7 linked regions of the Canis lupus familiaris genome follow. The protein of the gene in region 6 interacts with the protein of the main gene of each other region in a pairwise test. Links are inferred from orthologs where the notes say so. Each region holds a gene or a part of one and is shown on either strand. Other genes may lie near its edges. The genes, in order: ABHD16A, MFSD5, AQP5, APOD, SYNGR1, CREB3 and STX8.

Region 1 (4,081 bases), on a different chromosome or scaffold from region 6:
GGAGCCCGACATGGGACTCCATCCCAGGTCTCCAGGATCAGGCCCTGGGCTGACACGACGCTAAACCGCCAAGCCACCTGGGCAGCCCTCTAAATGGTTTTTGATGAAATATTCCATGCATACCAAGGACTGTATCGAATGTAACATAATGAGTAAAAGAAGCAAGAAACAAAGGGCATCATTTGCATGATTCCATTTACATAAAGTACAAAATTAGTCAAATCTAATCTATGAGGTTAGAAACTAAGATAGTGGTTACCCCTTGGCGGGGGAGGTAGTGATTTGGGGAGGGTCTTGTAGATGTGGTATAATGTATTCTTGATCTGGATGCTGACTACATGGATATATTCAAAAGGTGCACTTTTCTGTATATGTGTTTACTGCAATAAGAAGCGAAAGAATTTATATATCATGTAGGTGTAAGGTACAAAGGAAAATAAACCAAACCTGAATATCTATTAAATGTGTTACTGGGATCCTTGATGGCTCAGTGGTTGAGCATCTGCCTTTGGCCCAGGGCATGATCCTGGAGTCCCGGCATTGAGTCCCACGTCGGGCCCTGCATGGAGCCTGCTTCTCCCTCTGCCTGTGTCTCTGCCTCTCTCTCTCTGTGTCTTTCATGAATAAATAAATAAAATCTTTTAAAAAGTATTACCATTTCAAAGATCCTCTATGCTGTGTTACACTATTCTAAATTTGCTCTTCAACTTTCACTTGATCATTAAATTTTCTTTTCAAATGTTATACAGATGCATATGTATCGTGATGGTTGCGTGTAATCAATCTGTGGCTTTATTTTTCCCACTAAACAATACATTTGAGATTTGTCTACGCTTAGGAGCAAGAATTCCTCCTTTTTTTTTCTTTTTTTTTTAACCGGTATTTTACACACCCTGATAATACTTAGTCCTCCTATCCATGACTGCGATGTAGCTCTATATTTATTCAAGCCTTTGGTCACCTCTTTCAAAAACTTCTGTAATTTTCTTCATAAAATCGTGCATTTCTTTGGTTAGATGTGTTCCTAGACACCTTTTCTTTGTGTTGCATCTTATCCCTCGTTCCCATTGTCGTTCAAGAGCCTGCCAATATTAAGGGATGGGAAAAAGTGACTTAATCCTGATAATCCCCTACCTCGGCGCGTTCCAAACGCCTCCAACTAATTTCTGACCACGGCTCTACCCGTAGGTCCAACTGCGCGAAATCCGTCTCAAGCAGCGCGGAAAATGTCTCTACAGGGCTCGAGGCGGAGCCGGTACGTGCTGACGTCAAGGGCACGCAATACCTTCGAGGCCGGGGAAGGGCGGGGTCGGAAGGGGGACTTGCTGCTGGGAGAGCAGCGGCGGGAGCGGGGGCCATGGCGAAGCTGCTGAGCTGCGTCCTAGGCCCCCGGCTCTACAAAATCTACCGGGAGAGGGACTCGGAAAGGGCCCCGTCCGGCGTCCCCGAGACTCCAACTTCAGTCACTGCCCCCCCTTCCAGCTCCTGGGTGAGTCGAGTTCTCCCCGGGTCGGAAACATGGTACGGCCCAGTCCCCTTCGCGGCCTCTGCTCCCCGGAAGCGCCCATTATTGGAAATCGGGGGAGCCTGCTTGTCGAGCCAGGTGTCTGCGGAGCGCTCCCTGCGCCTCCTGGGTTAAAGTCACGCCCGCGGATCGCCGGCCTCCTCTGTCGCTCTTCGCCACCGCTTTCCGGTTCCCACTAGCGCTCCTCGCCTTTCCCTCTCGCGGCCCCCACCCCGTCTGTCGTGGTTCGTGCTACTCCCAATTGCCTGAGACCCTGCGCCAATTCCAGAGCTGGGTGATTTCTTCTGACTCGGTGCCTTCCCCAGTTCCGTTTTATCTGCCTTCCACACTGTCCGTGAAGTTAGATGGCTTCGACAAGTCACGTACGCGCGGCCTCCCACCCCGCCGCCCAGCCAGCCTTGGAGACCCCAGGGTGGTCACATTAGGAAAGCTGGGGTGAAAAAAAAAAAAAAAAAAAAAAAAAAGGAAAGCTGGGGTGGTGGGCGGCTGTGTCCCTGTAGGCGCTCTGCCTTTTCACGGGTAGTCTCAAGCTGTTTATTGCGCCCCGGGACGGCCCGCCCTCTGCCACATTCTCTTCCTTAATCACCCTGTTATTTCTGATCTTATTTCCCTCTTAAAGTTGTCATTGTGTCTTTCCTTTCTTCTCTCACTCCTCTCCCCGTTTGCACCTGCCCACGGCCCATTTGAAACTGGGTTGTGAAAAAGGAACACAAATCCTTCGGTGAGGCTTTCAATTTTGCTCCCAAGTCCGGCCTCCTATGTTTTCATGGTCTGGGGTAGGAAATCAGGCTTGGAGGAGGGGTTAGTAAGAGGGATTTCTTTGGGAGCCAGGAATGTCGCAGGAGGGACAGCTTCAGAGGCTAGAACCAGAGGACACAACGTCAGGGCTTTCAAAAGGGAAGGCGAAGGACTGGTCAGTGGACATGGTCCTTGACTCCGCCATCTGTTTTGGCAGGATACGTACTATCAACCCCGTGCCTTGGAGAAGCATGCTGACAGCATCCTGGCACTGGTATGTCTGCCCTCGCATCTGGGACTACTGTGTCTTTTCCCACCCAGTTGCCCTCGGAACTTTCTCCTCCCTAGCATGGGAGAAGGCAGCGCCCCTGGGGTGGGGAATGCTCCAGCCTCTGCTGCCAACCTCTCCAACCACATGGACCCACTCTCAAGCACCCATACTTGGCACTCCACCTTGGTGTGTGCACTGCTTTCTCTGGGGCAGCCTGAGCCCTGAGGAGAATGCGTTTCCCCTTGGGACCATCTGCAAGTGCTGAGTCCTGTGGTCCCCAGTGACCTGTCCTCCCTGGCTACAGGCAACTAACCTCCTTGGCTGCAAAGACAGCTGTTTTCTCTGGCAGGGTTCCTATGGTGACGTTTGTGCATCTCTTGGAGACCAGGCCAGGCGCTGTGCTGAGCAGGGCTGATTGGAAAGGTTTGATTGACTTGAGTAGAAAAAGAAACTGGCCTTTAAAAGCGATGAGATTATGTCTGGAGATAAGAGGAAGAAAACAGAACCTGTACCTAATTTCCCCAGCCTCCTTTCTGCTCTGATACATTGCCTTTCAACAGATATTAAGCACCTACTGTGTCATCCACAGAATAGGTACTTGATGTGATTGATCTCCCTCAGGTCCTCCACTTTGCTCAGAGCCTAGGCCTGGAAATGGCAGACTTGTGTGTGGGTGCGTGCGTGTACATGTGTGCACATATGTGCATGTGTGTGCATGTGTACTGATTGCTTGTCCCTGTCTCTCTGCTGCAGGCTTCAGTCTTCTGGTCCATCTCTTATTACTCCTCTCCCTTCGCCTTCTTCTACTTATACAGGAAAGGTCAGTGTGGCTTCAAAGGTGGTGGGCAGGTTGTTGGCAGATGAGCCAACCTCTCCAAAGAGGAAAGGGGACCTACGGACATGGCTTGGCTTTCCTCTTCCATCAGGCGTCTTCTTCCTCCAAGGGCATGGATGTCCCAAAGAGAGAATATGGGGCGGAAATTGGGCCTGACCTGGGAAGAGATGCCAAGGGGCAGTGGGGAAATTTCTCACATAATGCCTCTCCCCTCCCAGGTTACTTGAGCTTGTCCAAAGTGGTGCCATTTTCTCACTATGCGGGGACATTGCTACTACTCTTGGCAGGCGTGGCCTGTCTCCGAGGTAGGTCCAGAGGGAGCCTGGCTTGGATCTATATTTCCCGGGGTAAATATTTATTAAGTAATTTTGCAAATATATGGTTTGGGCCCTGAAAGGGAATAATTGGGAATGGTGAAGACGTGATCTTTTCCTTAAAGGGCTTGGTTGTAAGTATGAAAAAAACACTCATTGGCAGAAAACTGCTGTTATCTGAAGAAGATGCATATACCCTACAATAATTCCATACATGTCCATGTAGATGTTTGTCATAATCTGAAACTGGAAACAAGTCCATGGCCACAAATAGGATGGATATGTTAGAGGTCTAGTTGTGCAACACAACACAACACAGCATGCAAGTGAGCGAATTTAAACTACGCTCAGCAGCAAGAACGGGTCTCACAACTGTAAGGTTGAATGCAAGGAGCAGA
Region 2 (4,288 bases), on a different chromosome or scaffold from region 6:
TTACCAGCTAATAGGGGCCAGCACTTTTTAGACTAATTTATCTAGATTAATTTATTCATTTCTTCATCAAATGTTTATTGAATGCTTTTTACTTACCAATAACTGTTGGGGTTTTTTCTTCAACTTCATTTCTTTTTTTTAGTGATGTCTACACCCAACATGGGGTTAGAACTCCCACTTCCACCCCACCCCCAAGACCAAGAGGCAAATGCTTTTCTGACTGAGCCAGCAAGGTGCCTCCCCAGACCCCACTCCCCACCCCAGTAACTGTTTTAAGTACTGGAAACACAAGTGAACAAATAGATAAAAACCTTTAGGGAGAAGAGATAATAAATAAATAAAATACATAATGTGCCAGATGGTGTTAAGTGCTATGGAGAAAAGACAGCAAAGGGGAATGAGGCTGGAAGGACAGCAGGTAGATCTCTAGTGGAGGTGGCCGTGTTGCTGTTTTCAACAGGATGGCCCGGGAAGGCCTCTCTGATAAGGCAGCCTTGGAACAGGAAACCCGAGGGGCTGAAGGAGGGAATCATGTGGGTCTTTGGGAGAAGAACCTTGCAGGGCACAGTGTGCAAAGGCCCTGGAGGTCCCCAATACAGATGGAGTAGGAAGAGTCTGGAGAGAGGGATGCCTGGGTTGCTCAGTGGTTGGGCGCCTGCCTTTGGCTCAGGCCATGATCCCGGGATCCAGGATTGGGTCCCATGTTGGGCTCCCTGCATGGAGCCTGCTTCTCCCTCTGCCTGTGTCTCTGCCTCTCTCTCAGTCTGTGTCTCTCATGAATAAATAAATAAATCTTTAAAAAAAAAAAAAAGAGTCTGGAGGGAGAATTGTAGATAAAGTCAGAGAAGTGGCAGAGGAACCCGACACAGAGGGTTTCTAGGTCATCACGAAGGCCTGGGCTTCCATGCTCAGTGAGGTGAGAAGCCGTCGAGCCACTCTTAAATCTGGAGCACAAGGGAAAGAACCTTTCCAGGGGAGCACGGCTGGTAAGGGGCGAGAGGTGGGCTGACCCTTCGCCCTTTTTCCTCGGGCACTGCTCCCCCCTGACAGCAGGCAAAGAAATTGGGACACTAAGTGACGGATCTGGGGTTGGGGCCTCGGCCGGCTGCGTCCCCAGTCCCCAGGCCCTTGACCCACACCGCCTCCCTCAGGTGTCTGCGCCGCACCACGTCGGGGCCCAGGGCGCTACCGCGGGACCGGCCCGCGGAGGGCAGCCCGCGCGTCGGCAGGACTGCGGCACTGCCCTGCGACGGAGGAGAGAGAGGAAGTGGGTCTTTATGTGGAGGCGGCGCCGCAGGTACCCGGGAGTCGGAGGAGCGGCTGTCACGGGAAGGCCGCGGGGAGGGCCAGCTGCCGCCGCCGCCACCGCCCTGCTCGGCGGCCTCCGGGAGCCGGGGGCGGGGCCTGGAGCGCGGGGGCGGGGCCTGGGCGGGCCGGGGGCGGGGCCTGGGCGCCTCACCCCGTCACGTGACGGGGCCATCATGGCGGCGGCCAGAGGCCTCCCCGGCTCCCGGAAGCGGGCTGTGAGGGGCGGGCGCGCTGCTGGAACCCGAGCCCGAGCCGGAGCCGGACGTCGAGCGGGCTGGGCGGCGGGGCGGCCTGGAGCCGGACGCGTCCGCGGCGTCCCCGCAGCCCGGGGCAGCAGGTGAGCCGCGGTTGGGGCGAGGCGCGAGCAGGCGTGGCGGCGCGGGGGCGCCGGGCTGGGGCTCGGGGGCGCGGCGGGGGGGCCCGGGCCCGGGGTGCGCGCGCGGGACCCTGGAGCGGCCCTGGAGGCCGGCGCGGGCGGGACGCTCGGGGGCCCAGTGCAGCGGCCCGGAGAGCGTGGGGGTGACGCGCCTGCGGAGGCCGAGCTGGGCGAGGGCAGCAGCCCCTCCACCCGCGCGGCCGCCGTCGCCGTGTCGAGGGGACCCCCTCTTTGCTGCGCCGGGCGAGGGTGGGGCGGATGCTCCTTCTCCCCTCGCCCCGCCCTGCCCCGCAGTGTCCCGGGAGACCCGGCCTGGCGGGCCGCTCCTCCCACCCACCCAACTGGTCCCTCCGGTCCGAGCTCCGGGGGAGTGGAGCTGAGCGGCGGGGAAGTGCAGGTGGCGGGGGTGGGGTCGGGTGGGGGGTGGGTGCAGCTGCTTCTGCGTGGACACCCGCCCCTTGGCAGTGCTGCCCGGGCAATGGATGTAACTCCCACCCCCCCTTCCTCCCCTACCTAGGTCGTCCGGGGGCCCGCCATGCTGGTGACTGCCTATCTTGCTTTTGTGGTCCTCCTGGCCTCCTGCCTGGGGTTGGAGCTGTCAAGATGCCGGGCTAAGCCCCCTGGAAGGGCCTGCAGCAACCCCTCCTTCCTCCGGTTTCAACTGGACTTCTATCAGGTCTACTTCCTGGCCCTGGCGGCTGACTGGCTCCAGGCCCCCTACCTCTACAAACTCTATCAGCATTACCACTTCCTGGAGGGGCAGATTGCCATCCTCTATGTCTGTGGCCTTGCCTCCACAGTCCTTTTTGGACTGGTGGCCTCCTCCCTTGTGGATTGGCTGGGTCGCAAGAAGTCCTGTGTCCTCTTCTCCCTCACTTACTCTCTCTGCTGCCTAACGAAACTCTCTTGGGATTACTTTGTGCTGCTGATGGGCCGAGCCCTCGGAGGGCTGTCCACAGCGCTGCTCTTCTCCGCCTTCGAGGCCTGGTACGTCCATGAACACGTGGAGCGTCATGACTTCCCTGCTGAGTGGATCCCAGCTACCTTTGCCCGAGCTGCCTTCTGGAACCATGTGCTGGCTGTAGCGGCAGGTGTGGCAGCTGAAGCGGTGGCCTGCTGGATGGGGCTGGGGCCCGTGGCGCCCTTTGTGGCTGCCATCCCTCTCTTGGCTCTGGCTGGGGCCTTGGCCCTTCATAACTGGGGAGAGAACTATGATCGGCAGCGTGCCTTCTCAAGGACTTGTGCTGGAGGCCTGCGCTGCCTCCTGTCGGACCGCCGCGTGCTGCTGCTAGGCACCATACAAGCCCTGTTTGAGAGCGTCATCTTCATTTTTGTCTTCCTCTGGACGCCTGTGCTGGACCCACATGGGGCTCCGCTGGGCATTGTCTTCTCCAGCTTCATGGCAGCCAGCCTGCTTGGCTCTTCGCTGTACCGCATTGCTACCTCCAAGAGGTACCACCTTCAGCCCATGCACCTACTCTCCCTTGCTGTCCTCATCGTTGTCTTCTCCCTTTTCATGTTGACTTTCTCCACCAGCCCAGGCCAGGAGAGTCCAGTGGAGTCCTTCATAGCCTTTCTCCTTATCGAATTGGCCTGTGGGCTGTACTTTCCCAGCATGAGCTTCCTGCGGAGAAAGGTGATCCCCGAGACAGAGCAAGCTGGTGTACTCAACTGGTTCCGGGTGCCCCTGCACTTGCTGGCCTGCCTGGGGCTCCTAGTTCTCCATGACAGTGATCACAAAACGGGCACTCGGAACATGTTCAGCATCTGCTCTGCCGTCATGGTGATGGCTCTGCTGGCAGTGGTGGGACTCTTCACCGTGGTCAGGCACAATGCTGAGCTGCGGGTACCCTCACCCACCGGGGAGCCCTATGCCCCTGAGCTCTAGCCCGGTTCCAGGACAAGGGGGACTGGGAAGGACTCTCGAATCCCACCTCTCCGGGGTGGTATACAGATCTCTCCGTGACAGACTTTGCAACTGTCTGGGCCTCAGCCTGTCCTGGGGCCCCTCCTGCCAGTGCTTTGGGTTGGAGAGTACATGGGGGTGATGGCCTGGAAAGAAGATGCCACAAGTTGCCTCTGTGTTACTCCCTCTCCCCTTTCCATTTAAAAATAAACACTTTTAACTGGTCATTGATTGGATTTGCTCATCCTCACCTGCACCCACCTCAGTAGTTTCTGGTGTGTGGGCAGCCGGAGAGTTTGAGGCTGAAGGTGGGCTTATTAGCAAAAGGCATTTGTAGTTCTAGTCTCCAAGACTGTCTCCAGTTTAAACCGAGAGCTGTGGCATTGCCCCTTTGCTGAAATGGGTGGGGACTGCCTGAGGCTCCTGGGTCTTCTATATCTTGTTGCCCTGGGGACAGGTACCCTCTCCAGTTGCCCAGCAAGACCCTTGCTCCACAATCAGGGTGAGACAGTCTCTGGAGCAGGTGGTGTGAACAGAGATTCCAGGGGCTTGAGTTGCCTCTGTGACCACCCCTTGGGGCAAATCTGAAACCTTCCTGCAGAAACAAGCTTGCACCTCAGCACACATATGCTACCTGCCTTCTGTCTCTGTGGCAGAAGGGACTGTTTGTCCCGCACCACGTGCTCCCACCAGGTCCT
Region 3 (4,267 bases), on a different chromosome or scaffold from region 6:
GGAGACAGATCCCCAGGAGGACGGGGCCCCCCAACCTCACTCTAAAGAGAGACAAGTGACCCTTTGAAGGAGACATGTAGATTCCCGGGGAGACCACAGAACTCCTCTCCCTCCCACACAGGGAACGAAACAGACCCTGGAGAGGGAACATGAGCTCTCAGCAGAGGTGACAGATAGACTGTGCAGAGGGACAGGCCCACAAGAAGGAAGACTCCCTGAACCCCCTGGGCAGGAACAGATATATAAAACATCAGAGAGGACAGACACTCAGACACACTGCCCCCGGTCGCCCCACCCCAGAAGGACAGACGCAAAATCCTCAGACATCTACACAGAGGAACCGATCTCCTTCCCTTCCTTAGAGGTACAGCTACCCAGGGTTGCCCCGCCCCACCCCAGCCCTAAACCAGGGTCCTCTGCCATTTAACTCCCCCTGTCCTTGTTCTGGCTGCGTCCCATCCCTGTCTGTATCTCGATCTCTCTCCAGCCACGCCTCTCAAGGCCACCCCGAGCTCCGGGCCCACAGCATCCAGAAGATCCAGGGAGCTCTTGGCCAGGTTTCCAGGCCCTCATTGCCAGGGAGCCAGGGGGGGCCCAGACTCACCCAGTGAGCAGAGCTGAAGCGCTTCATGACCACTGCGGGGCCGAAAGAGCGGGCCGGGTTCATGGAGCAGCCGGTGAAGTAGATCTGGGCAGAGAGAGGGAGGCGGCAGTGAGGAGGGCAACATGCCTGTCGGCTCCTAAAGGCCTGGTCTTTCCCAGAGCCACCCAGAAGTTCAGTGGCTCAGCCAGGTCTCTGAATCTAGTCTCCCAATTGCTAGGCTGGTGAGCTCTCCCTCTACTGGTCCCCATGGACCCCTCTTTCTTCTCCAGTCCTGTGCTCGGGCTGGATTTCCTGCCTCCCCACCTCCCCCAACTCACACTTCCTGCCATATTTCCTCAGACTAGAGAAGATTTGGGGGGATCCAGCCTGGGACAGAGTATAGCAACCCCGCTCCAGGCCTTAACTGCTAGGTTCCCTGGTTCAGAGGGGTGCTGCTCTAGAGCCCCATTACTTGCCCTGGGGGGCTCCCCACAGCTGCAACCAAGTGGCAGCATTGCTCACCCCCACGAGGTGGCCCAGTGTGACGGAAAGGCCGATGGACAGGGCCGGAGAGCCCACAGGACTGGTGCGGCGGGAGTCGGTGGAAGAGAAGATGCAGAGTGCCAGCTGGAAGGTCAGAATCAGCTCTACTACCATAGCCTGGCCCTGGGTTGTGTTGTTGTTGAGCTGCAAGGGGAGGGTGGGTTAGGACCCCTGCCTTCTGGCTCTATGGCCAGGGGCTCGGGGGATGAGGCTTTTGGCCTCCAGGGACACCTAGAGCCACTGTCCCTGGAAGCCAAGCCTTGCGCACGTCAGAGAGGTCATTTGCTGAAAAGACTACCTACCTGACCCTGTGCACAAAGCTTGGAGCCCAGGCCGGTCGGTGGCCAAGGAGCTGAGTGTGAGGGGAGCTTTTCCTGGACAAGGTCCTGTCAACGGTTCTGCCCAGTTCCAACCCCCACAAGCTGGCATTTACCCTCCCTCCTGTGGGCAGCTGCCCAGTTTGCCTACTGCACCCCCAGCCTGCCTCCCGCCCGTGTCTGACCCGCTGCCAGTGCCAACCTCAAACCCGTCTCTCCGGTGGGGCTGACTCACGGCTTGACAATGGCCGAGAAAATCCTCCTCTGTGTTTGATTAATGAACCCAGTTTACATGGGACATGGGGACTGAATATGGGACCGTGAAAGGGGGTGAGAGCAGGGGACCAGGAGTGGGAACGCGTATTCAACAGACCCTACACACTGGCACCGCACACACGGTTTCTAGATGTAACCCCCTTGACACCTGTTGCGGTAGGTGATGACCACCGCGGTGTAGCAGCTGAGAACGGTGGGGCCCAGAGGGGCGAGGGGGGCCCAAAGCCGGGATTACAACCCACCCCTGACGGCTCCGCGAAACCACTCCAGTGCGGCGCAGACAGCAGCAGCGAGGGTCCCAAGCGCAGGGCAGAAGCCAGACAGCAGAAAGCCAGAAGTCTCGGGCAGAGAGAGGAGAGGCAGCCGGCTCCAGGAGGGAGGCCAGAGGAGCAGCAGGAGGGCGGCAGGGGAGGACGTGGGTCCGAACCAGGGAGGCCGAGCCCGGGCACCCCGGGCACCCCGGGCACCGTCCAGCCCGGAGCTCGGCCCCGCCACCTGCCAGGCGGGCCTGCTCCCACGCCCCAGATGTTGTCTGGGGCCGGCCGGGAGCCCACCCCAGGGCGCCCCCGCCCAGCCGGCCCGGGGGCACTCACCGAGTTGACGGCCAGGTTGCCGCGGGCGTTGAGCGGCGCCAGCCCGTAGAGGATGCCCGCCCCGGCGATGGCCCCCGCCAGCTGCGCCGCCACGTAGAAGGCGGCCCGCAGCAGCGAGATCTGGTTGCCCACCAGCAGGGCCAGCGTGATGGCCGGGTTGATGTGGCCGCCGCTCACGGGCCCCAGGGCCTGCGCCAGGGTGCCGATGGCCAGCCCGAAGGCCAGCGAGATCTGCAGGATGCTGGGCAGCGCCGACGGCCACTTGAGGGCCGAGCCGAGGCCGAAGAAGACGAAGATGAGGGTGGCCAGGAACTCGGCGAACACGGCCTTGAGGAAGGCCACGGAGCACACCTCCTTCTTCATGGTGGCCGCGAGGGCGCGGCGGCGGGGCGCGGGGGGCGCGGGGGCGCGGGGCGCGCGGGGCGCGGGGGGCGCGGGGGGCGCGGGGGGCTGGCTGCGGGGCGCGGGGCCCGGGGCGTGCTGGCGGGCGGCCTGGCGCGGGCCGGGCGGGGGCGCGCTATATAGAGGCCGGGCGCCCCGCGGGGGGGCGAGCGCGGGGGGGCAGGGGGCGGCCCCGGCGGCCGGCAGCCTCTCGCCGCGGCCCGGGGCCCCGCGCGCCCCCGGCCCCCCCGCGCCCGCCCCCCCGCCGGGGCCGCCGCGGACGCGCCCGGGCCACGTGACCCAGGCGGCGGCGGTGTAGACGGGCCGGGCGCCCGCGGACCCGCGCATGGTGCGCGCCGCTCGGCTCCCGCGCTCCGGGCCGCGTCCCTGGACGACTCCGCGGCCGCGGCCTCGAGCGTGCTGCGGCTCCGGCGCCTACCTCCGCGGGCCCAGTGCCTGCGTCCCCGCCCTTCCCCCGGCCTCGCCGGGCTCTGGGGCCGGCTCCTCCCTTCCCTCCCGCGGCCCGGGCATCCCGACCCGGCCTCACCGCCCGCGGGGCTGGAGCCGTGCGACTCTCCGAGGCCCGCGCCGCTCCGCTCCCTGCCCGGCGGGGGCGGGGGCGGGGCGGGGGCGTCCCGGGCGAGCGGCCGGCGGAGCCCGCAGCCCCGAGGCGCCCTCTCCCGGCGCCCGAGCCCCGCGGCCTCCCAGCGAGCCCCCGACGGGGTGCGGGGCGGGACGCGAGGGGGCGCGACCGACTTCACTTTTGGTTTGGGTCGGGGGAGCCCCGGGAGTCGGGGTGGCGGTGCGCTGCGGGGACGGGACGGCGCGGGCGCCCCGCTGACCTCCCGGCCTCCGAGGCCCCCTACTCTGGTCCCCCCCCCCCTCCTTTAACTCCCGCAGCTCACCTCCTCCACTCTCCTTCGTCTTCCCTTCCCTCAAACTCTCAGTCTTTTTTTTTTTTTTTTTTTAAGATTTTATTTTTAAGTCATCTCTACACTCAGTGTGGGGCTCCAGCCCACAGCCCCGAGATGAAGCGCCGCATGCGGGGGCGCCTGGGTGACTCAGTCCCGCGAGTGTCTGCCCTCCTCTCAGGTCATGATCCCAGGGCCCTTGGGACCCAGGCCCGCGTCCCGCTCTGCTCAGGAGCGATTCTGCTTCTCCCTCTCCGTCCGCCCCTCTGCCTGCTTGTGTGCTTTTGCTCGTTCTCTCTCTCTCTCCCTCAAATAAATAAAAAATCTTGGGGAAAAGCAAAGTCGCATGCTCTACCTCCTGAGGCACCCAGGCACCCCAGGCCTGGAAGACTCCTGGAAGCAGACCCCTGGCTGAGCGTGGGTCCCCCACACGTGGGTCCCCCCCGGGACCCCGGGATCATGACCTGAGCCAAAGGCAGATGCTCAACAACTGAGCCCCCCAGGTGCCCTCTACCTCGGCTTCCATGGCCCATCTCTCTTACGTGTAGTCTTTTCTAGTCCTTCCAGCCCTGGACTGGGTGATGCTCTCTTCCCGCTCCCATCCTCCTCCTCCTGTTCCCATCCCTTCCCTCTGAACTCCAGGCTGCTCTCCTCTGGCTCTCC
Region 4 (3,500 bases), on a different chromosome or scaffold from region 6:
TTCCAATTAATATATTGACTAAGTAAATATATTCACATGGGTCCAAATTCTAAAGGTGCCAAAGAACATTCAATGACAAGTTCTTTGTCATTGAACCTACCCCTGGTTCCCTCCCTAGGAGCAACCAGTTAAAAACAGTTTATTGTGTATCATTTGGGAGATAGTGTATACGTACACAAATACATACATAAGTGCAGTAGGCAGAATGATGTCCACACCCTGATCCCTGGAACCTGCGAATATGCTACTTTCCACGAAAAGGAGGATTTTGCTGATGTGAATAAAGTTATAGACTTGGAGATGGCCAGAGAGCGTGGATTACCCAGTGGGCTCAGTCTAATTATTGAAAGCAGAGAACTTTCCCCAGCTGTGGTCAGAGAGGTGTGATGATGGAACAAGAGAAAGAGAGATACAATGTGAGAAGGATTTCACCCACTTTTGCTGGCTCTGAAGATGGAGGAAGGGGTTCAACCAGCCAAAGAATGTGGGTGGCCTCTAAAATGTGGACAGGGGGATCCCTGGGTGGCGCAGCGGTTTGGCGCCTGCCTTTGGCCCAGAGCGCGATCCTGGAGACCCGGGATCGAATCCCACGTCGGGCTCCCGGTGCATGGAGCCTGCTTCTCCCTCTGCCTGTGTCTCTGCCTCTCTCTCTCTCTGTGACTATCATAAATAAATAAAAATTAATAAAATAAAATAAAATAAAATAAAATGTGGACAGGGCAAGAAGACAGAGTCCCCTAAACCCCCTAGAAAGGAACACAGTCCTGCCAACACCTTGATTTTAATCAAGCTCACTTGATGTACACACCCATGAGACCATAAATTTGTGTTGTAAGCTTGTGGAATTTGTTATAGCAGCAATAGAAAATGAACATAATAACCTTTCCCCCCATTTTCCATATACTCTTATTTTTTACCCAGCTCTTTTTTTCCATTGAATGCATCTTGGATATAGTTGCATGACTCCTTTAAAGGAGGCTATATAACATTCGGTTGTTTGGTTGTGCCATACACATTTATGTACCCAGTCCCCTACGAATGCTCACTTAGACTCTAATTTCCTGTCTTTTGTTCTTACAAATAGCACTGCATCAAATAACCTCATAAATGCACTAGATGTATTTTCTTTGCTAGATATTGTCAGATTGCCCCCCATGCAGGTTGTAAATTGGAGCAGTCTCCATGCAAGGCAGTGCATGGAAGCATGAAAGTACTTGTCTCTCCTTACCGTCACCCACACCATTGCACACTTCCTTTAATGTTGACTCTGTACACGAAGCTATGAACGGAGACCAAGTCCCCAGTGAAAGAATATCAATCTTCTGAATCCTGATCACTTGCTAAAAGCCTTTGTGACCAACTCCCTGTCCGGGGTCTTATGAGGAGAATCAACCAACTCTGGAGTCCCAGTTCCCCAGAGTGACCATATCTGGCTTTGCACACAATTCAAAGATGCCTCGTAGAATCACAAAATATTTGAGATGGAACCTTACATCATCTGGACCGCTCCCTCTCCTTTACAGAGCCTAAAATTTCACATAGATTCTGGCTGGAGGGCCCACTGACATCATATCTAAATAAAGGTCACTTTAGGAATAAAATGTGGCATTCGACCAATGCCTGCAAATCTGACTCACTTACTCTCATTTGAATCAATATCTTGCTCAGTTGCTGTCGGGAACAGTGCAGCCCATTTTGCGTGGTTTCCCCAGGAAAGGGCTCTGCTCTAAAAGACGACAATAGGGAAGAGTTAGCAGGTCCCCAGAGAGCCACAGGGTTTTCTCTGCTTATTGTTATCTCTGCAGTATCTTGGACGATGGTACGAAATTGAGAAGATCCCAGTGAGCTTTGAGAAGGGAAGTTGCATCCAAGCCAACTATTCGCTAATGGAAAACGGAAACATCAAAGTGATAAACCAGGAGTTGAGGTGAGTGGCTGCGGTTTCAAAAGCAACACGGTCCCAGAGCCAGCCTGCAGAGAGCTGTCCCCGGGTGACTGGGTGTCCTTGCGGCCTAGCTCAGCGGGGAGGCAGACGTGGCTGCGTCTGCACTGACTACTCGCAGCAGGTCCTGAGATGAAGGCTTTTGGCAGGCAGGATGGTGGGGACTAGAGGCCACTCGCTTATTTGCAAGACCTCTTGCTGGGCATCTTACTGTATTGTGTACTTACTGTATTGTGTGTTCCCGGCGAGCACTTACACTTATTCTGGGCCTGTTGTGTGTGTGCCCCTGTAAAAGGTACTGGGGACTCAACGGGAATCCAAACTGCAGGGTTCCTGCTCTCCTTGCAAAACAGACACGCTGGTAGCAAAGGGCAAGTGAGACTTTGATCTGATCTGATCTCCAAACCAAGAGAGAAGCTCTTTCTACCTCATCGACTGACAGAGGGCATCCAGCTCGGCTTGAACCCTCCCAGGAACTGGTTGCTCATGGCAATTCATTCAGCCGTGACGACTAGAAGACGCCTGTTCTCATTAAGCAAGAATCAAATACATTCATAGCCACACTCTAGGGTTCGTGAACAGGATAGCCTTTAGAAGTATGCTTTTCTGTTTCCGAGAGCTTCTAACCGAGTTCTATTTCGATAGAAAAATTCATACTTTAGAAAGCAAACATAAACTTTAAAAATGCCCCAGGAAGACCTCCTACCTACCTTCCATCAACAAAGATAAGAGCAGGGATGCCTGGGGCCTCCGTGGTTAAGCAGCTGCCTTCAGCCCAGGGCGTGACCCCAGGGTCCCGGGATCGAGTCCCGAGTAGGGCTCCCTGCAGGGAGCCTGCTTCTCCCTCTGCCTGGGTCTCTGCCTCTCTCTCTCTCTCTCTCTCTCTCTCTGGGTCTCTCATGAATAAATAAATAAAATCTTAAAAAAAAAAAGATAAGAGCAACAGTAAACAATAGTGGCAAATATTAAGCATTTCCTGCGTGCAAGGCGCTATTCTGTGAGTGTACGTGTATGTGCACGCGTGCACCTGGGTGGATGTGTATGTAAACGAGCATGCGCCTCCGGGCCCTGAGGCAGGTACTCTTAGTAAGGCCACTTTTCTAGATGAAGAAACAGAGGTACAGGGAGGGAAGGGAACTCGCCCGATGGCCGCACCGCTTATAAGCAACGAGGCCGACGTTCAAGCCCAGAGAGCAGGGGAACGTGGAAGACAACAGCCGCCGGGAGAGAGGGCTGGGACCAGGGCCGTCCCTCCTGTCCCCTGCGGGATCTGGGAACTGTGTCGGCTCCAAGGAAACCGCCACGGCGCAGCCTGGAAGGCCCTGCGGCTCCGGGAGGCTTTGCGGCCGTCCTGGTCCCCACCAGGCTTCCTGTGCCCGACCGGGGGTGGCCCCTGGCCCTGCAGGAATCCGGGAAGCGAAGTCACATCTTAGCGGCCTAGAGAGAGAGAAAACCGGCTCATCTCAGAGCCCGGGCACGGCGACCGGGCCCGGGTGCAGGCGCATCGAGGCTGCGCCCCAGGAGTTGTCCTGGTCTGCGACGAGGGTCAGACACGGCC
Region 5 (4,212 bases), on a different chromosome or scaffold from region 6:
CCAGATCGTAGTTTGCCTTCATTCATTTTTGTAACAGTGACTTTTGAAGAGCAGTTCTTAATTTTTTTTAAAAATATTTTATTTATTTATTCATGAGAGACAGAGAGAGAGGCGCAGACACACAGGCAGAGGTAGGAGCAGGCCCCATCCAGGGAGCAAGATGCGGGACTCGATCCTGGGACTCCAGGATCACACCCCCTGGGCTGAAGGCAGGCGCTAAACCACTGAGCCACCCAGGGATCCCCCAAGCAGTTCTAAATTTTGATGAAGCTCAATTGATTAATTGTTTTCTCTTATGGATCATGCTCCACATTATACCTAAGAACTCTTTGCCCAACCCCAAATCACACAAATTTCTCTCATGTTTTCTTCTAGAAGTTTTATACAATCATAGCAGCTACGTCATGAGGTTGCTGTATCAAATGGGAGCACAGGGCCTGGCCCAGAACTGACCCTCAGTACACAGAGCCTAAGATGGACGTTTGCCTAGGTGATACTTGGAAGAAGTGCCTCACACCCACCACACACTTCCTCTGCACAGACCTATGTCCTTTCATCAGAGAATGACAAGACAGCAGCAAAACACATCCTTCTCCAACCCGATCCTGGAACCAAGGAAGGTCCCTGGACCACCGAGAGAGGCGGTTAGGACTACAGGTCATGGGAAGAGCCAGACCCAGAGGGTGTAACCAGCCCTCCTCTAGCCGGTCTGCTCCCATGACCCCTGGAGGCCTAGCCCAAATTGTGATGTGGTTCTGGGGACTAGGGTCTACTTCTTGAGAACCTACTGTGTGCCAGACCATTGGCTCCAACAGGGAACGAGACAGAACCCACCGAAGAGCAGAAGAAAACAATGAACAAATAAATACATAATTAGTGAATTAAGGAAAAGGATGGGGGGGGGTCCATACGTCCAATAAAAAATCTGCTGCCCTTCCTCAGCCTCCGCCTCTGTGCCAGGTGTCTCGGGCCCTCCAGGCTGGGGATGGGGGTGCGCAGACACAGGCGCCCGTGTGATGTCAGCCTAAAAGCCAGGTGGAAAGGTCCTGGGGAGGTGGGGGCTGCGCTTTGGGGGGTTATTCATTCTCGGTCATTCATTCAGTCGAGAAATCTGCATGCTGCGCGGGAAGACAAACGAGGCCCCCGCTGCTACGCTGGGGGGCACCCAGCGGTACGCACCGAGGGGCTGGGACGCCGCTATTTGGGGCGCGCCCCTCCCCACCCCGCCCCCGGCTCCGCGGAGGTCGCGGCGCTAGCGACGAGCGCGCCCCCCGCCCGGCCCCAGCACGCGCGCCCCCGCGAACCAGCGCGCGCCCCCCGCCCGCGGCCCCGCGCCCCCCGCGCACGACGCCCCCTGGCGGGGGCCCTGGGCGACGCCGGCCGCGCGAGGCGGGGAGGGGGCGGGGGCGCCGCGCACGCGCAGGGCCGGCGGCGCGCCGAGCTGGGGGCACCGCGCGGGTGCAGCCACGATGGAAGGGGGTGCGTACGGAGCGGGCAAGGCCGGGGGCGCCTTCGACCCCCACACCCTGGTCCGCCAGCCGCACACCATCCTGCGCGTCGTGTCTTGGGTAAGGACGGCGGTGGCCCGGCCGCGCGGGCGGTGGCGTGTGGCGCGCCCGGGCGGACCCCAGGCCAAGGTGCGGCAGCCGGCGGGGAGCCTTGCGGACGGGGTGCGGGCGGCCGCCGCGCCCTCCTGCCGGGGCCGGGGCCGGGGCCGGGGCCGGGGCGGGGGCGGGGGCGGGGGCGGGGGCGGGCTCGGCGCCCGGGTTCGCGAGCGGCCCCCCATCGCGGTGACCTCCAGGCCGCGGCTCTGCAGCTGGCGGCTCGGGTTGCGCGGTGCCGCCGGGCGGGTCGGCGGCCGTGGGGACTGAGCCCGGGGTCCAGGTGGCCCTTGGGGGGGCGGGTGGATCGGGGCGTGGATCCTCACCGGGGCACGCCGCGCCCGCCGTGGACGCGCGAGGAGGAGACGGCCGGAAACCCGGTTTGGTGGCTTAGCCCGGAAGGTACGGAGCGATGCGGCGGGGGCCGGACACCTGGCTTCCACCCGGGAGCTGCGTGACCTTGGGCCGGGAACCACCCGAGAAACGTTCCTGCGGGAAGAAGAGTTACGTCCCGAGGTGGGGAGAGGCAGCTCCTCTCTCATGCCTCAGTTTCCCGATTTGTTGAGAGGTGGGAGGAGCTACCTTGGGCTCTGATATTTACCCCCAAGCCATGACCGCGCCCCCCCCCAAGTACACCTGGATGCTTGTGGGGGGAAGATAGGGGAGAGGTCCTCTACCCACAGGGAAGAGCAGAGAGGCCTGGTGGGGGTCAGAATTCCCCCAGCAGTAGGGGGTCCCTGCTCAGAATTGGGGTTGTGGGGGAGGAAGCTGGGACAGGACTGCCAGCAGAGAGGGAGGGGTTCAGATGGTCTGGACAGCACCCAGGGGAAGAAGGCCTGCTGCGGGAGGGGGTGCCTGGGGCTCCCTCGGGTTTCCTAGCCATTACCCAGACACCCTCACTAGAGGGTCTCGGCTCTGCAGGCCTGGGGCCTGTTCCTGTGGGCCCACACCAGAAGGGTTTGGACTGGGGACACTGGGCAGGGTCACTGTCAGCAACCCCAAGGGGCTACACCTGAGGCCAGCTTAGCCTCAGGGTGCTCAAGGTCCCTCATTTCCTGGGTTTTCAGGGTAATATTAGGGTCTGATGGGTGGGACAGCTTGGGTGTTTATCTCTGGCCTCCCAGAGAGAATGGAAGCTAACTGTCCTTTGAAAACGTTAAAACCTCCTCCTGGTGCTACAAGAAGCATGGCCTCATGTAAACCCCTTTCTTCTCACGTACCCATCAGATGGGGAGCTCATTGAGGGGGGAAGCCCCAGTGGCACCACAGGGCCTGGCAGCGGGCTGCTACCCCAGGCACATCCATAAGGTTTTGTGGCACTGAATTCATTCACCTGTGCCAGTCTCCAGCTCCCCAGAGACCCCGACTGGCCCTTGGTAGAGCTGGAACTCTGGGGGGCACCTGTCTGGTTAGGTGGGCCAGCTCTGTGCTCTGCTTCCCTTTGCCAGCCCCTGGGCCACTGGCCCAGGAGGATGAAGCCACTGGCTTTGTGAGGAGGTGTGGGCAGTTTGCCTGCTTGGGTCGCTTCTGCCTGTGATGGCTTCATTTAGTAAAGCTTCAAGTCCACTGGGCCCCTAGGGAAGGCGGCATGACTCAGATCCAGCCGTTAGTGCTCAGGGATCCTATAGTCCCACTGGGAAGGGAGCCAGGTTCACCCCCCGCCCCCCCCCCCCCGCCTCCCTCAGGCATGAGAGCCAGCCTAGGGGTCTCCCCAGGCCATGAGAACCAGCCTAGGGGTCTCCCTGCTGCAGGAATCAGAGAGGCATCGTGGAGGTGATAATCAAATTGGGCCTTGAAGCATGAGCAGGGTTTCTGCATGTGCATGTCAGGGTGTGGGGAGACATCCCAAGCAGAAGGAAGGAAACTAACTGCTGGAGTACCCACCATGTGCAGGGGTGCACACACGGTTACCTAGCTAGGTCCCCCACTGCATCCCTTGAAGAAGCAGGCTCAGAGGGTCCTGAGGTTACAAGCATGGAGGCGACAGACAGAGGGTTCGAACCCAAATCTTGGAGTCTCCAAAAAGCACATCGATTGCTCCCAATCCTGAAATCCAGGATTGGAAAGGATAAAGGTCATCCGGGCCAACCACCATCTAACACCCAAATCCCCCCACAGCCTTCTAGCTCTGCTGACTTTACCTTTGTGTGAGGAAAGCTTGATGAAGCTTTACTAAATCTGCTGATACAGGCTGATTGACACCTTCAAAACATAGTTTTTTTTTTTCTGGTCACAAAAGTAATGCGTGATGACTTTTGGAAAATATAAACATCACTTCTGATGGTCGCACAACAACATAAAGGTACCGTACTTATACCACCGTACAGCTAAAAATGACTAAAATGGTACATTTTATGTCATATGATTTTTAACACAATAAAAACATTCAGGAAAAAGAAACCATGTGTGATCCCACCACTTAGGGAGGCGCAGTGCTTCCTTCGAGTCTTTTTCAAAAATATGTAGTGAGCTAACATGTTTTAACATGTTTTAACACGCTGATGAGCATGTGGAAGATGCACTTGATGACCCATCCTTTGCTCTGGTGCTCCCTGGGCACCCCACCTTGGGGTCAGGGAGGCATCAGGCTTCACCTTCAAGCTAACAAAGT
Region 6 (4,109 bases):
GAACACTGGATTTAGAGAACAGAAATAAAGAAGCTAGAATCCCAGATACCTGCAATTCTAGTTGAAGCCCAGATCCCTAACCTGAAATGAGTTTATCCTATCTCTGGGCTAGAGAACCCCTGAAACTACGTAGGAATGAGACCTCCCTGCAAAACGAGAGCACCTACCTACTGCCAATCTCTTAAATTCAATATATCCAAGGTCAGCTACCCTAACCTCAGCCATAACCCCCATAAAACTAACCCTAATCCCTAATATTAACCCTGACCCTAATTTGGTTCCTGTTTCCCAACACTGGCTTTGACATTCATCCCTTTCCTGGCAGACACCCGTCCCCAATCCTTGATCCCTAATATTGATCTACTTTTTACCTCTAGGAATGAATTTCCTGACCTTAACTCTAAATGTTGATCTCTAAGCCTAAAACTGTTGTCTCACTTGACTTCTGATCCATCCCTTCGCGATTTATCCCTAGTTCCATGCTAATGTTCTCTAATCCCTAAAAAACTGGACTTCTAATTTAAATCCTGTGTTGACCCTTAAACCGGCCCTGAACCCTAACTTTGACTTACGTTGGCCAGAAACAGAATAATGACCTAATCCAAACTCTACCTACATAAAACGGACCCGACTCACACTGGTAACTCTAAATGTCAACTCCGGTTTTTAACTCCGTAAGCTAACCTTTAATTCCTAAACCCAACTCTACCTAATTCCCAAACTCACCCCCAGCTTTCCTACCCGCATACTCACTATCAGCTAACCTCAAAGCCGATCCCCGCCCTGCGCCTCACTGTCACCCAACTCCTCACCCTCCCCAAAACTTATTCCAGACAGAGAGGACTTGATCCCAGGAAAGGCTTGGCTCCCTTAAAACGACCTACTTAACTTCCGATCCCAAGCCGAGATACACTGGACGCTGACCTCTCCAACAGGACCCGAAACAGCGGACGCAAGGGCCCCGCCCGCCCTGCCACCCGCGCTGCCACCCGCGCTCGCGCTCGCTTCCCGGTCCTGGCCGTGCGGCCCCACCCTGAGGCTCCGGCTCGGCCCGGTCCGGCCTACCTGCGCTGCCCGGCTCGTGCCCCGCCCGCCGGCCCGATAACCCGCTCGCTCTCCCGGTGGTAATCGGGCTTCGGCCTCGCCCTCCCTTCGACACTCTCTCGGCCACTTCCGTCCCCGGAACGTCCCCCACCCGCGGGCGGCGCCCTGGGCCCGCGCTCTATGGTTGTGGGGGCAACAGGAAGCTGCTCTGGCCCCAGCTCTCGATGCTCGGGAGCCGGCCTTAAAAAGGCGCCCCCCCCCGCCCCCCGGCCGGCTCCCCCGGCAGGAAACAAGGGTGCGGCGCAATCCGGGAAGACGCCCGAACTGCGCGCGAGTTCCCCTTTGGTCTCTAACCCTTCCTTTTTTTTCAGCCTGGGGCCGAGGCGGAGGCGGCCTCCCAGATTGCCCGCCCTCAGGGTGTGAGGAGGCCGCAGGGACGTCCCCTCTATTTGCAGAGCTCCCGGGACGTGGCGCGCCGCGGCTAGGCCACTTCCGCGTCGGAGGGAACTCCAAATCCCGTGGTGCCTCGGGGGTGTGCGCGTCACTTCCGTGGTGTTGGAAGTTGCGGAGAATCGGGTCTTGGGGGCTGGTGCAATTTCAGAGCGACAGGTCCGGGCTTGCGGATAGGTCTCTCTGTACATCTTTCCGGTTGTTATCCGGTATGGAGCTGGCGTTGGACTTGGGTGACCAGGACCTGCTGGATTTCCTGCTAGAGGAAAGCGGCGATTTGGGGGCCGGGCCGCCGCTTTCCGAGGTGGGTGGGGGCTGCGAGCCGGGGAGGCGCGGGGATCCCGGGAGAGCGTTCATGGGGTGGTGGGTAGTTGATAGGTCAAGGCTTGTTTATTTGAACCCTGTGCAGGCGTTGAGTGAATGGGAGGCAGAGGATTTCCTGAGTTCCATGCTGAGTCCCCCAGCATCGTTGAACGTCCTTAGCTCCTCTGATTCCTGTCTCGTGCACCATGATCACACCTACTCTCTCTCACAACAGCATGTTTCCATAGATCTAGGTGAGTCTGAAATATGATGAGGAAGAAAGTGAGGTTTGAGGGGAGGAGAGGCTTCGTGGGTCTGGCTATTTATACTTTTCGTTTTGCAGATGGTGGGAGCTATGGAAAAGAAGAGGCCCAGACGACCCCACTGCAAGTGGAGGAGCCCGCAGAGCAGGTACTTGATTTATGGCGGGATCATTCCCACATTGCGCGGGTGGGGGCGGATTCCCCATTCCTTTCTGTCATCCCCTTGCAACTCTGCTGCCCACCTCCTGGTAACTAATCCCAGGAGATTGCTAGGCTGATACTGACAGATGAAGAGAAGAGGCTGTTGGAGAAGGAGGGGCTTACTCTGCATGGGACGCTTCCTCTTACTAAGGTAAGACTCCCATTGGTGGGAGTGAAGGCTGGAGGGATGTGTTGTGGATCCCAAGTGTGCACTTCTGTTAACTTTATGTCAGGAAGGACTGAGGTTAGAAAACTTGGCAAATTTGTTGGTAATAGGAAGCTGGAGCATGATGTTAATATGGTGGATGCAGAGGCAGATCCTGGTTTTGTGGGGCTCATACAAGTTTTGGTGTTTTCTTTGAGAAGAATTCAAAATCATCGATGCAACATTAGTGTAGGGTCTTGGAAGGGACTGTGCAAGCAAACTCATGGTAATCCACCTGTAGCTAAATGGTTAGAGTTCATCAAGGCTGGACTAAGTAATATAGCAAGAATAATTGTAAAATCCCAAGTTTTAAGTTTCAGGCAATGAATAGCAGCTTCACAAGCACAGTATTGTGGTACTGTTGTGAAACCAACACTACAGGAAGGTTGAGAGAATTTTCTTAAAAGTACAAGATGGGTTAGTTTGAGATGACAGAGAGTGGGGTTTGAAGGCTGTATCAGTAGAGGTGTTGCCTCTAGAAGGGCAGTGACCATCTTCTTCTCCATTATACTGGCCAGAGCACATCTTAGTGTCTAGTTTTGAACCCAGATCTTTGACAGATATTAAGAGGATGCAGTCCATCCCGAAGAGAGGTGAGAAGTTAATTTTTTTTTTTTTAAGATTTTACTTATTTATTCATGAGAGACACACAGAGAGAGGCAGAGACACAGGCAGCGGGAGAAGCAGGCTCTATGCAGGGAGCCCGATATGGGACTTGATCCTGGGACTCCAGGATCGTGCCCTGGGCTGAAGGGAGGTACTAACCTGCTGAGCCACCCAGGCATCCCGAGAAGTTAAAATTTTTGCCCAGATCTTTTAACTCTGAAGAAATGTTAAATGGCTTAAATTAAAGACTGTTCATTCTGGGATCCCTGGGTGGCTCAGCAGTTTAGCACCTGCCTTCAGCCCAGAGCGTGATCCTGCAGACCCGGGATCGAGACCCACAGCAGGCTCCCTGCGTGGAGCCTGCTTCTCTCACTGCCTGTGTCTCTGCCTCTCTCTCTCTGTGTGTGTGTCTCTCATGAATAAGTAATAAGATCTTAAAAAAAAAAACAAAAAAAAAACCTTCATTCTATATGGTCTCAGAGATAGGTACCAGGTAAGTTCAATTGATAGAAATCATAGAGGCAGATGTCGGTTAGCTTAGGATAAGGAAAATTTAAAGATTTTTTTTTAAAGGTTTATTTATTTTAAATCTTTTTTTTTTTATTTTTATTTATTTATGATAGTCACAGAGAGAGAGAGAGAGAGAGGGGCAAAGACAGAGGCAGAGGAAGAATCAGGCTCCATGCACCGGGAGCCCGATGTGGGATTCAATCCCAGGTCTCCAGGATTGCGCCCTGGGCCAAAGGCAGGCGCCAAACCGCTGCGCCACCTAGGGATCCCGGTTTCCTTATTTTAAAGAGAGATTGTGCTTGTGCATGCAAGCAGCAGGGTGGGGCAGAAAGCAAGGGAGAGAGAATGAAAATCTCAAGTGGACTCCCTGTTAATCACAAAGCCCAACGCGGCACTCCATCCCATGATCCTGAGATCATGACCTGAGCTGAAGTCAAATCAGGAGTCAGACTCCTAACCAACTGAGCCACCCAGGTGCCCCAAGATTTTTTGTTTTGTTTTTATTTTTAAAGATTTTATTTATTTAT
Region 7 (3,500 bases), on a different chromosome or scaffold from region 6:
ATTCCTCAATGATTCCAGTGGGTAGCACATTTCTAGAACCTCCGCTTGTCCAGGGCTAACGTGAGAATGTGAGGATTGGGAACAGAACGTCTGGGATTTTGACCTGCATTTCACAGGACCTCTTCAAGGGCTCACTCCCCTACATCTCTAAAGCCCTCTTGTCAAGTCTCACCCGATGATCCTGGTGTTCGAGTCTCTGCAGAAACTAGCTTCCCCGCATCTGTGACCCTGTGATACTGTATCCTCCTACCTAGGGCCACTCAGCCCAATGTGCCAGGCCTGTTTCCTTCCTTTCACCTTTGCTTGTTTCTTGTGTCTTTGGCCCAGTCCAGAATGTGCCTCTCCCTCCTGCCTCTCAATCTTGCAGTTCAGCCCAGAATATAATCTCTTGGCCTAGTCCTGTCAAATCTGAGTGCCTCGGCCGCCAGTGATTTCTCTCATTTCCACACTCCAGAAGGACTTACCAGTTATGTTCCACAGTTGGTAGGAGCTATAGCATACATCATTAGTGATTTCCACAAGTATGGTCTAGGAGCACAGAGCCAGACCTAAGTTCCTCTTTTCAGAGAGGACAGTATGGAGGGGAAAAAGGGGAATGTGGCAAAGCTGGGGCTAGGACCCAGTTTCCTTACCAACTTCCTTCCTGTTATCTTTTTTTTTTTTTTTTTCTTTTTGGGGGGAGAGGCAGAGAGAGAGGGAGGGAGACAATCTCAAGCAGACTGCATACTCAGCACAGAGCCCTATGCTGGGTTTGATCTCATGACCCTGAGATATGACCTGAGCCCAAATCAAGAGTCAGATGCTCAATTGACTGAGCCACCCAGGTGCCCCTTCCCTCCTGTTTCCTTAATTATGTATTGTATCACCTGCTCTTCTTTGTGAACATACGCACACTACACATGTATACATATGCACGATGCCACTTTAGTGTGTAGTGGGAAGTAGTTAATGATCCTACCTCATGGGATGTGAAGTTCAGAATGTAACACTCTTAGCCAGAACTGGCCCAGATCCGTACTCAATCACTATACTACTATTGCTGTAATCACTATAGTAAGATTGGTAAGAGAAGTGACTGAAGATTGTTCTTTTTCATCACTGAAAAACACATTTGCTAAGTTCCTTAGGTATATGAGTAGTGAGTGGGAGTTCAAAGATTTTAAGGAATGGATTGTTTACCTTCTCAAGCAAAACTTGGGACATTGGGTAAAACAGCAGTTTTCAATATTTTGTACTGGGAAAATATGTTGATTGTATCGAACTGACCACCTGGTAGATGAAACACAACGTATAGGTGCACTTAGCTCTTCTCTGTAAAACAAATAGAAAATAGAAAGGCTGTTACAAACGGACCCACGAAGGGGTGACTGGGAACTCACTGTGAATTTTTCAAAGCCTCCAACACTTTGAGTACTAAACAGAAACCCAGCAAATGTTTTGAGAGAATTCTCATAAGCTTAGATGTCAGGAGGGTGTGTGTCCTGTGTCTCCAGAGCATTTCGTTGTAGGATAAACAGTACTTGCTGTTCTTGTTTTACATGTAAAGCTCTTCCCAAGATAGCTGCCTGGCTGGCTTCCTCACCTTGCCTGTCACTCTCTGCTCTTTAATCCTGCTTTATTTTTCTTCTTCACACATACCAGCACTTGACATACTACATATTTATTTATTTTATGCCTTTCTCCCTTTGCTAAGCTCCTAGAGCAGGGACGTTGTCCATGTCGTTCACTGCTCTGCTCTCCAGGGCCTGGAACAATACTCGGTACAGAGGAGGCCCTCCGTAAACATTCACCGAACATTCTTTAAGTCAGTGAATTCAAACATGTTACCATCTGCAGAATGGTGTCTTTAAGTCAGTGAATTCAAACATGTTACCATCTGCAGAATGGTGAAGTGGGTAGGAGCCCAAACTCAGGGCTGGGCAGCCTTGGCTTGCTGCTGGGGGTATCACTTGGGCAGGTCTCTGTACCTCTTTGTACCTGATATTTCCTTACAGGTGGGGGTGGTAATGGTACCTGCCTCCTGGCATTTTTTTTGTGGATTAAGTGAATTAAAAATGAAGCATTCAGAATAGATCCCTGCTCATAATATTTACCATAATAGCAACACATGTCCCTATGACTGTTAACTATTACTACCCTTCCTTCCTGTTTGAATTTGTGGCTAGAATTAAAAACAGAAGCTCAAAAAAAAATTAATTAAAATAAATTAAAAAAAAACAAAGCTCAGATGACACAGAAATCTTCTTTCAAAGAACCTTAAACATTCTTTTCCCTTTACGACTTTAATGCAGGTTCTCCACATACGACTCTACCTGCCAAATTGCACAAGAGATTGCCGAGAAAATCCAACAGCAAAATCAGTATGAAAGAAATGGTGAAAATACAATCAGGGTAAGACCAGGGGAAAATTAGTACCTGAAATGATTTGTTTGAGCTCTGAGGTCTGAAAACCCTCCTACTGCTGAGGCTGTGTGTGTGTGTGTGTGTGTGTGTATGTATATGTATAAAATGGACTCCAAACTTACATGTGTGGAATTGATATTACAACCAATCAGTTAATCGTTATAACTGAGACTAAGTGAAGCATGACACCTGTTTAATTTCTCCTCCATAACCAAAGTTTCTAACAATTTCATAGTCTGGGTCAAACCCTAGACAGTAAATCTTCCAGACTTTGCAGAACAAGAGGTGACATCTTCACCTCTTGGAGTAACTGTTCTTGCCAAAAGGATCGTGGCCTTTTTTTTTACATTTTACATGGAAAAATGTAAATAGTTTGCAGGCTGTACAAAAACAGTGGCAGGATTTAGCTAGGAAATCTATTTTTTAGACACTCAGGAGTTCATACTAGCACCTTTGATTTGAGTCCAGGACACAAGTTTCTTTCTAAACTTCCCCACTCAAATTCATATTTTTCCTTTCCAGCAGTCAGAACTTTGGTTTCCAAAAACAGTGATATCTTTTTGTTCATTTGATCTACCATATAGTTTACAGAAAACAGTTTCAGAATTACTGCGCAGGTGCCACCACAATCACTAAGTCTGAATTTGTCTTATTTTTTTTAAGAACTAGTATCCCACTAATAATACTGAGGTTATTCTGTTCTAAAGTTATTAGAATGGATTCCTTTTTTGTTTTCCTTTTTTATGCTATCCTTAGCATCTGTTTATATTCTTTTTTTTTTTTTTGCAATCTTTAACCCCCATACTTATCCGCCTCCCCCCCCCCCCCAACGTGGTAACCACCAGTTTATGCTCTATGGTTAAGAGTCTATTTCTTGGTTTGTCTCTCTCTCTGTTTTCCCCTTTGTTTCTTTGTTTTCCCTTTGTTGGTTTATTTCTTAATTCCACATAAGAGTAAAATCATGTGGTATTTGTCTTTCTCTGACTTATCTTACTTAGCATTAAACTCTTTAGCTCCATTTATGTTGCTGCACATAGCAAGATTTAATTCTTTTTATGGCTGAATAATATTCCATTGTGTATGTGTATTCTGTTGTG

Evidence for each region.
Region 1: the proteins of CREB3 (region 6) and ABHD16A interact in a two-hybrid assay, tested with the Homo sapiens proteins (2 studies listed by BioGRID and IntAct). The two-hybrid records come from large-scale screens. The link is inferred for Canis lupus familiaris from reciprocal best matches to the Homo sapiens genes CREB3 and ABHD16A.
Region 2: the proteins of CREB3 (region 6) and MFSD5 interact in a two-hybrid assay, tested with the Homo sapiens proteins (2 studies listed by BioGRID and IntAct). The two-hybrid records come from large-scale screens. The link is inferred for Canis lupus familiaris from reciprocal best matches to the Homo sapiens genes CREB3 and SLC61A1.
Region 3: the proteins of CREB3 (region 6) and AQP5 interact in a two-hybrid assay, tested with the Homo sapiens proteins (2 studies listed by BioGRID and IntAct). The two-hybrid records come from large-scale screens. The link is inferred for Canis lupus familiaris from reciprocal best matches to the Homo sapiens genes CREB3 and AQP5.
Region 4: the proteins of CREB3 (region 6) and APOD interact in binary tests that used the Homo sapiens proteins (3 or more experiments, as listed by UniProt). The two-hybrid records come from large-scale screens. The link is inferred for Canis lupus familiaris from reciprocal best matches to the Homo sapiens genes CREB3 and APOD.
Region 5: the proteins of CREB3 (region 6) and SYNGR1 interact in binary tests that used the Homo sapiens proteins (3 or more experiments, as listed by UniProt). The two-hybrid records come from large-scale screens. The link is inferred for Canis lupus familiaris from reciprocal best matches to the Homo sapiens genes CREB3 and SYNGR1.
Region 7: the proteins of CREB3 (region 6) and STX8 interact in a two-hybrid assay, tested with the Homo sapiens proteins (3 studies listed by BioGRID and IntAct). The two-hybrid records come from large-scale screens. The link is inferred for Canis lupus familiaris from reciprocal best matches to the Homo sapiens genes CREB3 and STX8.

Annotation. Positions count from the first base shown.
Region 1 is NC_049233.1:1,319,044-1,323,124, reverse strand, and holds the start of ABHD16A (phosphatidylserine lipase ABHD16A), read left to right. Parts: upstream 1-1,281; 5' UTR 1,282-1,357; coding exon 1,358-1,489; intron 1,490-1,596; exon of another isoform or gene 1,597-1,869; coding exon of another isoform or gene 1,870-1,887; intron 1,888-2,480; coding exon 2,481-2,537; intron 2,538-3,287; coding exon 3,288-3,354; intron 3,355-3,587; coding exon 3,588-3,674; intron 3,675-4,081. UniProt on the Homo sapiens protein: Phosphatidylserine (PS) lipase that mediates the hydrolysis of phosphatidylserine to generate lysophosphatidylserine (LPS). LPS constitutes a class of signaling lipids that regulates immunological and neurological processes.
Region 2 is NC_049248.1:44,704,709-44,708,996, forward strand, and holds MFSD5 (molybdate-anion transporter), read left to right. Parts: upstream 1-1,488; 5' UTR 1,489-1,528; coding exon of another isoform or gene 1,529-2,064; intron 2,065-2,201; 5' UTR 2,202-2,219; coding exon 2,220-3,572; 3' UTR 3,573-3,817; downstream 3,818-4,288. Other genes in the region: translation initiation factor IF-2-like, read left to right, coding at 1,152-1,397, 1,529-2,064. UniProt on the Homo sapiens protein: Mediates high-affinity intracellular uptake of the rare oligo-element molybdenum.
Region 3 is NC_049248.1:41,910,841-41,915,107, reverse strand, and holds the start of AQP5 (aquaporin-5), read right to left. Parts: upstream 2,801-4,267; 5' UTR 2,676-2,800; coding exon 2,313-2,675; intron 1,271-2,312; coding exon 1,106-1,270; intron 689-1,105; coding exon 605-688; intron 1-604. UniProt on the Homo sapiens protein: Aquaporins form homotetrameric transmembrane channels, with each monomer independently mediating water transport across the plasma membrane along its osmotic gradient. Plays an important role in fluid secretion in salivary glands.
Region 4 is NC_049254.1:31,201,636-31,205,135, forward strand, and holds part of APOD (apolipoprotein D), read left to right. Parts: intron 1-1,641; exon of another isoform or gene 1,642-1,726; intron 1,727-1,805; coding exon 1,806-1,927; intron 1,928-3,500. UniProt on the Homo sapiens protein: APOD occurs in the macromolecular complex with lecithin-cholesterol acyltransferase. It is probably involved in the transport and binding of bilin. Appears to be able to transport a variety of ligands in a number of different contexts.
Region 5 is NC_049231.1:26,671,115-26,675,326, reverse strand, and holds the start of SYNGR1 (synaptogyrin-1), read left to right. Parts: upstream 1-1,412; 5' UTR 1,413-1,469; coding exon 1,470-1,637; intron 1,638-4,212. UniProt on the Homo sapiens protein: May play a role in regulated exocytosis. Modulates the localization of synaptophysin/SYP into synaptic-like microvesicles and may therefore play a role in synaptic-like microvesicle formation and/or maturation.
Region 6 is NC_049232.1:52,553,935-52,558,043, forward strand, and holds the start of CREB3 (cyclic AMP-responsive element-binding protein 3), read left to right. Parts: upstream 1-1,309; 5' UTR 1,310-1,705; coding exon 1,706-1,798; intron 1,799-1,903; coding exon 1,904-2,051; intron 2,052-2,140; coding exon 2,141-2,208; intron 2,209-2,322; coding exon 2,323-2,412; intron 2,413-4,109. UniProt on the Homo sapiens protein: Endoplasmic reticulum (ER)-bound sequence-specific transcription factor that directly binds DNA and activates transcription. Plays a role in the unfolded protein response (UPR), promoting cell survival versus ER stress-induced apoptotic cell death.
Region 7 is NC_049226.1:34,293,742-34,297,241, reverse strand, and holds part of STX8 (syntaxin-8), read left to right. Parts: intron 1-2,291; coding exon 2,292-2,391; intron 2,392-3,500. UniProt on the Homo sapiens protein: Vesicle trafficking protein that functions in the early secretory pathway, possibly by mediating retrograde transport from cis-Golgi membranes to the ER.